2 linked regions of the Cricetulus griseus genome follow. The protein of the gene in region 1 binds, or shares a complex with, the protein of each later gene. Links are inferred from orthologs where the notes say so. Each region holds a gene or a part of one and is shown on either strand. Other genes may lie near its edges. The genes, in order: Cckar and Cck.

Region 1 (4,472 bases):
AGGGACTGTCTCTGACTTGTTTACAGACTTTTTGGACTCTAATACTCATACTGGGTCACCTGGCCCAGCCTTAATACATGGGGAGGCGCTTAGTCTTCCTGAAACTTGATATGCTGTGTTTTATTGATACTTAAACAGAAATGGAAAAGGAGTGGATTGGGGGTGGGAGCAGAGGGGGGATGGTGGGGAGGGACTAGGAGGAGAGTGGAGAGAGGAAACCGCAGCCAGGATATAAAAATAAATACATAAATAAATTTATTTTTTAAAAAAAATAAAGCAAGAAAGAAACACAGATCCTAATATTGCCTGTTTCTTAGATGTTCAAACTAAGACCAGTGCAGTGAACAGTGAGGGGCTTTTAAGTATTGTCCAACTTCCTGAAAAAGCCAAGCCCCTAAACAGGCCTCTCACACACTAGCCATCTCCCAACATACCCTTCACTTATTCCTTCTTCTGTCCTTCAAATAGGCCAAGCCCCTTCCTGCCTCAGGCCCTTTGCACTGGTTGTGGCCTCTGCAGAAAGTATTCTGTCCCCTGTTTGGAGGCTTTCGCATTTACATCTCAGGCTTTGCACCACTAGTAACCCCCACCCCCACCAGGGAGGCCTAAATCCCTTCCCACTTTTCCCCTCTCCAACTTAACAGCATCTGAGGTGCTCTTCTTTCCTGATGGGCTTGAGAAGTACTCAGCAAATGGTTGACTCTCAGTGAACAGGTCTGGGGTGGAGAGACAAAGCAAAACAATAAAAAATAAACAAGTGAATGAGAATTCTTGCTGATTTCTATAGTAATAAGGATCTAGGAGAGCAGAAAAGGTAGGGTATTAGGTGGGGTGGGGGAGGGAGGATGGGAGGGAGAAGGACCTGGGATTAACATGTAAAATAATCTTCTTTCTAATTAAAAAAATACAAAATAAATAAATAAAATAAAATAAAGGACCTAGGAATCTGCATTCAGAAGAGTCCCCTGCTTCTGGTTAACAAGGGCAGAGACCACAAGACCGAGCACTGTGCTTGGTAACACCTTAACAACCACCCAGAAGTTCTCTCCATACACATTACTGGGCAAGGCTCCAAAGCTAAAAGGCACTAATTGCTTTTATATAAGGAGATAGGAATGCAGTCTCTCTGTGTCCCTTAGTCCCAATGGTCTGCATTATCGGATCTGTTACCATGTTAATTGATGCTGTCTCACACAGACATTTCAGGCTTCACTCTGAATATGTCTGGGACACTGACAGGCAGAGAAGAGAGGTGGTAATTGGGAAGTCTCTCTCTTTCTCTCTCTCCACCCGTGTGTGTGTGTGTGTGTGTGTGTGTGTGTGTGTGTGTGTGTGTGTGTAGATGTGGCCCCACTCTGGGAAGGGTTAATATGCAGCCAAGCTGCCTGTGCTCAGGGCCTCAGACCGGCCCAGGAATGGGAGGGGTGGGCCTGGAAGGTGGAGCAGGCTTGACTTGCACAGGCTGCTTCTCCCCACAGGAGTGCAAGTGCTTGCCCAGCTGGTCTGAGAATGGTGAACTCAAGTTGCCTTTAGGAATGGCTGCAAAGCCCACACCTGGAAATACCCCCTCCCTGCCCCTCCACGGCAGGTTGCATTTAGGAGACTCTCCGGTCATTAGAGGAACGAGTCAGGAGTGAGCCATTCACCAGCTCGCCAGCACTTGGTAGAGAGCAGCAGGATGGACGTGGTCGACAGCCTTCTCATGAATGGGAGCAACATTACTCCCCCCTGTGAACTCGGCCTGGAAAATGAGACTCTTTTCTGCCTGGATCGACCTCAGCCTTCAAAAGGTAGGTGTTAGAGGCTGTGACTGGAGTTCAGAAAACCACCCAGTTAAGGGAGATGATAGCAACAGCAAGGTTGACTAAAATGTATGTACAGTGTGTGTGTGTGTGTGTGTGTGTGTGTGTGTGTGTGTGTGTGTGTGTGTGTGTGTACAAAATCCCTGTGAGACAAAGCTAAATGAAGTTGTATGTTCAGAAGTTTGGATAAACGAGTAAGAGAAATCTACAGTCAAATATTCTTATTGTTCCCATGGGAGAGTTGGGAACTCATGAAGGATTCGGGGGAGATGACAAAAGCATAGAAGAGCTGAGGGCAGAAAGGGGTGCCAAGTGTAGAAGCCGGGACTACACACATTACTGAAAAAGCATTGTCAGGGGTAGAGGTTACCTTTTCTTAGGAGAAACCCAGCATGAAGAAGTGATTAAAGCAAAATAAAATAATGCTTAGCCTCAGGGAAAGGAAGCCGTCACCATTCAGGAGCACTGTCCTTAGGAAAAAACTGCTTTCCCCAGTGATCTGTTGACACACACCAACCTTTAAAAAAGCAATTGGATTGCCCTGTGCTTCCCTGGGCTTGTGTCTGTGTGATGCAGGCAGCACAGGGATACTCGGGTTCAGTGATGCATGCCAGCAGGGGACATCATCAGAAATGACCACTCCTTGGGGGGCTAAGGTTTTCACATTCCACCCTCCTAACCCACCTCCCTGCAACTCTTCCCCATTCCTCTGCAGAGTGGCAGCCTGCAGTGCAGATTCTCCTCTACTCCTTCATATTCCTCCTCAGTGTGCTGGGGAACACGCTGGTCATCACGGTGCTGATTCGAAACAAGAGGATGCGGACTGTCACCAACATCTTCCTGCTATCCTTGGCTGTCAGTGACCTCATGCTCTGTCTCTTCTGCATGCCATTCAACCTCATCCCCAATCTGCTCAAGGATTTCATCTTTGGAAGTGCTATGTGCAAGACCACCACCTACTTCATGGGTGAGTCGCTGCAGGTGGCTGTTGATGGGGCTCTTCTCACTCAGCCCTGTTTAGCCCCCGCTTTTGCCAGCTGCTTGACAGTCACAGCAGAGGGACCCTCCTGGGTTCCCAAATACCAAGCATCTGGCTGGCTGGGCCCATGTAGGACATGGGTGCTCTCTTTACAGCAAGTCAGCCCTTCTACTTGCAAGGGAGTGTGTGTCAGAAGTTGAGACAAAAACACAGTGGGAACTCAGTGGAGTTTCCTCTTTGAATAAGGACAAGAACTCATAGGTGACTTCAAGTCACTCCATACTTTTCTGCTGGCAGATGATTGTATGCCAATTAACCCCCAAGTTGGGACAGGGTTTCTTGGAATGGAGTAGGTGCATAGGATCAGGGCTCTTTGTTGTTGTGTTTCTTGTTCTGTGAGAAATGGAGGCTGTTTTAAACCATTCCATCTCTGTCTAGCTACTCCTTTCAGGATTCACTTCCCAGATTGTTCTCTCAAAGCCTGGGGGCATCTTAGGCCAGGGGTCTGTGGAGTGTGTGTGTGTGTGTGTGTGTGTGTGTGTGTGTGTGTGTGTGTGTGTGTGTGTGTGTTTGTGTAATAAGAAGCTGAATATGTTCCTAAGGAGCATGGATTATGAAGTAGATCCTGATTGGATGAGCCCTATAGCTCGCTGCCAAACATAATGATGGTTGTAGCAAAACCCACAAAGCTACTTTCTTAGTACTTTTTTATGCACCAGGTATTTTGCTGAGCACTTTCACTTCCATGATCTTATTTCTTGTCCACCTGGTAAATAGCTATCATCAATTCTTCCCTATCTTGCCAAGCACGTGCCAGGGGAAGCATGGGGGCTGGGGTTTGAACCTAGATTAGCAGGCACCACAGTGGTGAGTTCATGCCTCAGCTTGCCAGCTACTGAGGTTCTCCTAACCCTGGACAGAAACATGTCCCTGGTCCTCTCTGTCTGTCACACTACCTTGTCCCTTGCCCATTCTGAGAACCAACTGAGAAGAAGAAGAGGGTGAGGAGTGTGTGTGTGTTTGATTCTGACGCAAGCTGTGTTAAACAGAGAGCACTGACGAGGGCTAGGGAAATCTTCGCAGGCCAGAAAGCATTGAAAAGCCTTTCTTTTTCCCAATTGAGTGTTCAAGATCCAACAGATGACACAATGATGATGAATCGATGACTCTCATGCCCCCAGATTAGTAACTAAGGATGTCATTTGTGTTCAAGTCCCCTGAACATATTCTAAAGCCTTAAGAAAAATGGGAAGGATCTTGGTTAGATAATGAAGCATTGTTGAAAGCTTGTTAACTCCTGGGGCCCATCCATGTGCATCTGCTGGGCTTTAACATCTTAGCTAGAGTGGGGAGGAGAATTCACAGAGGTACTCACATAATCACACAGCTCTGAAGGCCGGGAAACTCTTTGCTTCAAGGTGGTCAAGTCTATGCTGTGTGAATTTCACCTCAGAACAACTTTAGTAGCCAAAATTAAACAGCAAACTAATTCTGGGATTATTTGGAATGTCATAATAGCTTACTTGGTTAAATTTACTTCTTCTTGTTATTTGGTATTGGTTTTAGGTTGGTTTGGGATTTGGGGGTGGGGAATAAGGTGGGGGTTGAGCAAGGTTCAGTATGTAGCCTTGGCTGACCTGGAAACTTAGTGTGTAGCTAGGTTGGCCTTGATCTTGAGGTGATTCTCTTGC
Region 2 (4,290 bases), on another chromosome or scaffold:
TTTCTCCAGGGCCACTTCAATCGGTGGTCGCGCCAGTGGCCGCCTTCTGAGCAAGCGTCCTGCCGGACTGCGTCAGCACTGGGTAAACAGATGACTGGCTGCGCGCCGGGCGGGGCTATTTAAGAGGCAGCCGCCCTCCAGTCTGCCCTGAACTTGGCTGGACTGCAGCCTGCTCTGCTGGAATCCGCCAAGCCAGCTGATCCCCCGTCAAAGGTAAGTCGGTGTCTGTGCTGGCCCATCCAAGAATTACGGGTGTGAAGAATACTGGCCCGTAGCTTTGCGTCCTGGCCGTATCATCTTTCTGTTTTCTGTGCCTTCCCTCCTTTGACAGCTGGGAAGATTTCCTGAAGTCAGAAATAATGGCTCTGGATTTTAAGATGCGCCTGGGTGGGTACTGCTGCGTGGAGACTTTATTCCTCTGTGTGCTGTCTAATGGCAAGGCTGGGATAGCCATTTCTTAGGGTTCCCACGATGTTCGGATCACTTTGCAATCATTTAAAAGGGAATGCCAAGAGGTTTTAAGACACATTCATTTTCTAAATGATGCAGGAAAAAAAACTAAGGCTTTGTGGCTAGAAAGACATCGTTAGGACGGTGCAGGTCCCATCAGGTCAGTTCTAGGTCGGTTTGCAAATGTGGTGGGGCTTTGGCCACAACTCAGGACTGGGCACAGAGTTCTGGGTTTTCTTTTGCATAGTGACTTCTTGTTCGTCCCCATAGAAACACCGAGGAACCTCTATAAACACAGCTTCTATTTATGCACCCATACTTTAAACCGCTTCCCATTGTCGTCCCATTCATTTCTGTAGAGACGGCTTTTAACCTGCATTTCTCTGCATTCTGCCTCTCTGTCTCTGTCTCTGTCTCTGTCTGTCTGTCTCTCTCTGTCTCTCTCTGTCTCTCTGTCTCTCTCTGTCTCTCTCTCTCTCTCGTGTGTGTGTGTGTGTGTGTGTGTGTGTGTGTGTGTGTGTGACCCACTCACCCACTCTGTGTTTTCTGGTTAGAAGAGAGATGGGCTATAAAGGTGCCCTCTAACTTCAGGAAAGCAGGAGGCACTGCTTCTGAACCTGGAAGTAAATGGGGTCTGTGCGGGATTCCCGGGCCCTGGGTGTGGATAACACAAAAGCCAGGCAGAAGTGTCCCCAGGCGCGCGGTGGCCAGGGCGCAGCCAAGGACTGGACTTGACTAGTTCTAGGGCATGAGCCAGGCTGGCGGCCACAGCCCCGCGTTCAGCCTCGGCGGACTTCGTGTGCGGGACTTTTGGCTGCAGCCCGCCGAGCTCAGCCCTTGGTTCATGACCCTCGCCTCCGCTCCCCACAGCCATGAAGAGCAGCGTGTGTCTGTGCGTCCTGATGGCAGTCCTGGCTGCAGGCGCCCTGGCGCAGCCAGTGGCACCAGCAGAAGCCGCGGAGTCGGCGGTGCAGCGGGCAGAGGAGGCCCCCCGAAGGCAGCTGAGGGCGGTGCTCAGGACCGACGGCGAGCCCCGAGCGCGCCTGGGCGCACTGCTCGCACGATACATTCAGCAGGCACGCAAAGGTAAGGATGTCCGCTCTGCCTCACGCGGCGGCTGCTGCTGCGGTCTGGGTTCCCATTCCTGATCTCCAAAGCACCTGCAGGGAAGAGGAGGAAACCAGAGCACACGAGGAGCAAGATTCTCTCTTTCCTTCCCTGAGGTACTCTGCACCGCACTGTGGCATCAGCAGGTGGTGTTCTCAGCACCCAAGAGGGGAGATGGGTGGAGGGCTTACCGCGTGGGTAAGAGGAGCGGGCTAACCCTTCTCGGAACTGACTTCGGCACTGTATTAGGGTTGAAGTCCAACACCGCTTTAGGAAAACACACACACACACACACACACACACACACACACACACACACACACACACACACACACACACACACAAAGTGCTGGTAAGAGTCTCCAGATCCGCCCTCTCCTCTGTGCTGTATATACAGCAGGACTGGGGACCACCCAGACACTGACCCTCGGGACCCCTCTGGCGTGAAATAGGTCAGTGCTGAGAAAACCTGAGACTTGAGACACGTAGCTGGCACTGTGTACATGTCCCCCTGTATGGCGCAGGAGGTAAGGGTCAAAGAGCAGCTGGAGTTCCCTTGACTGCCCAGTCAGGATGGCCACAGAGTGAAAGCTGTGTCTTACGTTTCTATAGCTGTCAGAAAGGTGGCCACCATGCTGACCACCTCAGGGATCTTCTCAATATTGGAAGCCGCCCCCCCCCCACGATCCCCGTGGGCTATTCAGCAGCTTGCCAGTTGAGGGTTCCTCTCCTGTACCCAAATCTCTCATCTTCAGAGAGGCGATGGGGACAGCGCAGACCAGATCCTCTCCCAGCTCGGGAGTCATGGCTGCCACCAAGACAGCTTTCATCTGACTTTATCAGCAGGGACATGGATGGTGACTTCTGGCTGGGGTGTGTTAAACTGGACCAGTAGAGTGAGATTTAACTTTCGAAGGTGGGCCCTTTGTTCTGTGGAGCTCATTTACTCAACGTGTCCTGTCTGATTTGAACAGCCCAGGGCATTGGGCTTGACTAGTGAGGGGGAACTGGGGAACTTGGTTGAGTTTCCTAGAGTCCCCCATGAAGATGCGACCAGGGGACTTCAGGGGAATCAAGAGATTTCTTATGTTTCTTCCTGTTTGGGAACTCACCCCACAGCCATCCCTTTCTAGGTTGTTTTCCTGCTAATTCAATGGAGGGAGGGAGAGATGAGAGAGAGAGAGAGAGAGAGAGAGAGAGAGAGAGAGAGAGAGAGAGAGAGAGAGAGAGAGAGAAATGCATACATACACACATACAGACACATACATACATACATACATACATACATACATACATACATACATGCACACACACACATACACACATACACACCAGGTAATAAGAAAACCTGGGAACGTGGGATGCCCCCTCCCCATTCCTTCTGATGTGGGCCAGCAGACCCTTCTGAAGTATTTTAGACTTTTCTAGACTCTTCAGTGAGCTGTCAGTCTATAGAACCTTTGGCCTGAGTTTGGGAATGCCCGAGCAGTTCTAGCAACAGAAAGCCTGGTTGCTGAATTATTGCCTAGAACCAACACATGACAGTGGTTTTCCCAGCAGCTGGAAGCCACTCCGAGCTCTCTTCTCAGACCCTGTCTCCCCTCAGCCTGTTGGACCCACTGAGCCCAGAAAGGAGTAGCCTTCATTTGAAAGTTGGTTTGCTCACACCCAGGGTCAGGGCTAAGTATAGAAGAGTGATGCCCACTTTTTGACAAAATATAAACTCAGGATCAATATTGTCAATACTGCACAATTTCTCTGAATATTTTATAAATGATTTTTTATTCAACTATAATACATACTATTCTTAAAGACTCTAGACGAGATACTTTTTTGAGTGATTGGGGCTTGGCTTTAGCTGGTAGACTGGCCTAGAATGCACAAAATCCTGAGTTCAACTCTCACACCACATGACACCCAGCCTGTAATCCTAGCATCGGGAGGTGGGGGTGGGTGGACCAGTTCAAAGCTAGCCTCTGCTGTGCAGCAAGTTTGAGGCCAGCTTGGGCTATGTAAGATCTCATATTTAAAAACAAAAAGTAAAATATGAAATAAAACCAAGCTTATCTTTAGAGCTTGTCTGCAGAGCCCTCAGTGGTCCCAGAGGAAGCCTATTCATTCCTGTGGAAGGTGGGGAGGCACTGGTGGTCCAGAGGGAAGTGTGTTCCCGTGGGAGGTGGGGAGGCATTGGTGGTCCAGGGGGAAGTGTGTTCCCGTGGGAGGTGGGGAGGCATCAATGGCACTAGCATCCAATGCTCTCTCCATGCATCTCTCTCAAGCCTTAAAACCTTTCTTCACATGAGCATCTATCTCACTGTCTTTCACTTATGAAGCCTGTGCTAAAGAAGGCAAATGCCATCTGTGCACACATTGGTGCATCTAGGAGGCAGCAGGAGTCTATACAGGTTTGACTTACGCCGCGGCCTGGAGGCCATACGGTTCCCAGCTCACCTGCTGCAGGAGTCAGATCACTTTGTCTCAGACCACTCTAAGCCCCTTCGCTGTGTAGTGCTGGCGATGGATGGAGGGTGATAACAACATGCCTGAGGACAGATCTGTGTAGGATGTGAGAGCCAAGGCATGTTCCAAACACAGCTCCCATGAGAGTAAAGTGCCCAGCCACTGACCGGACAGCTGGCTCGATAGAAGCGTGGGTTGTGCCCAGCCCTCAGAGTAGACACTAATCCCTAAACAGGCCAGAGGATGGGCTGTGCTTTCTTATGACATGGGAAC

What was found.
Region 2: the proteins of Cckar (region 1) and Cck are in contact, whole or in part, in a cryo-EM structure (PDB 7MBX), measured with the Homo sapiens proteins. The link is inferred for Cricetulus griseus from reciprocal best matches to the Homo sapiens genes CCKAR and CCK. Residues at the interface, in NP_000721.1 of Homo sapiens: Cys94, Phe97, Asn98, Pro101, Asn102, Lys105, Asp106, Phe107, Thr118, Met121, Gly122, Val125, Tyr176, Phe185, Asn194, Met195, Cys196, Arg197, Phe198, His210, Leu213, Leu217, Ile329, Phe330, Ala332, Asn333, Arg336, Ala343, Glu344, Leu347; in NP_000720.1 of Homo sapiens: Asp96, Tyr97, Met98, Gly99, Trp100, Met101, Asp102, Phe103.

Annotation. Positions count from the first base shown.
Region 1 is NW_023276807.1:121,968,158-121,972,629, reverse strand, and holds the start of Cckar (cholecystokinin receptor type A), read left to right. Parts: upstream 1-1,407; 5' UTR 1,408-1,678; coding exon 1,679-1,790; intron 1,791-2,517; coding exon 2,518-2,769; intron 2,770-4,472. UniProt on the Homo sapiens protein: Receptor for cholecystokinin. Mediates pancreatic growth and enzyme secretion, smooth muscle contraction of the gall bladder and stomach. Has a 1000-fold higher affinity for CCK rather than for gastrin.
Region 2 is NC_048597.1:228,506,532-228,510,821, reverse strand, and holds the start of Cck (cholecystokinin), read left to right. Parts: upstream 1-1,322; coding exon 1,323-1,536; intron 1,537-4,290. UniProt on the Homo sapiens protein: This peptide hormone induces gall bladder contraction and the release of pancreatic enzymes in the gut. Its function in the brain is not clear.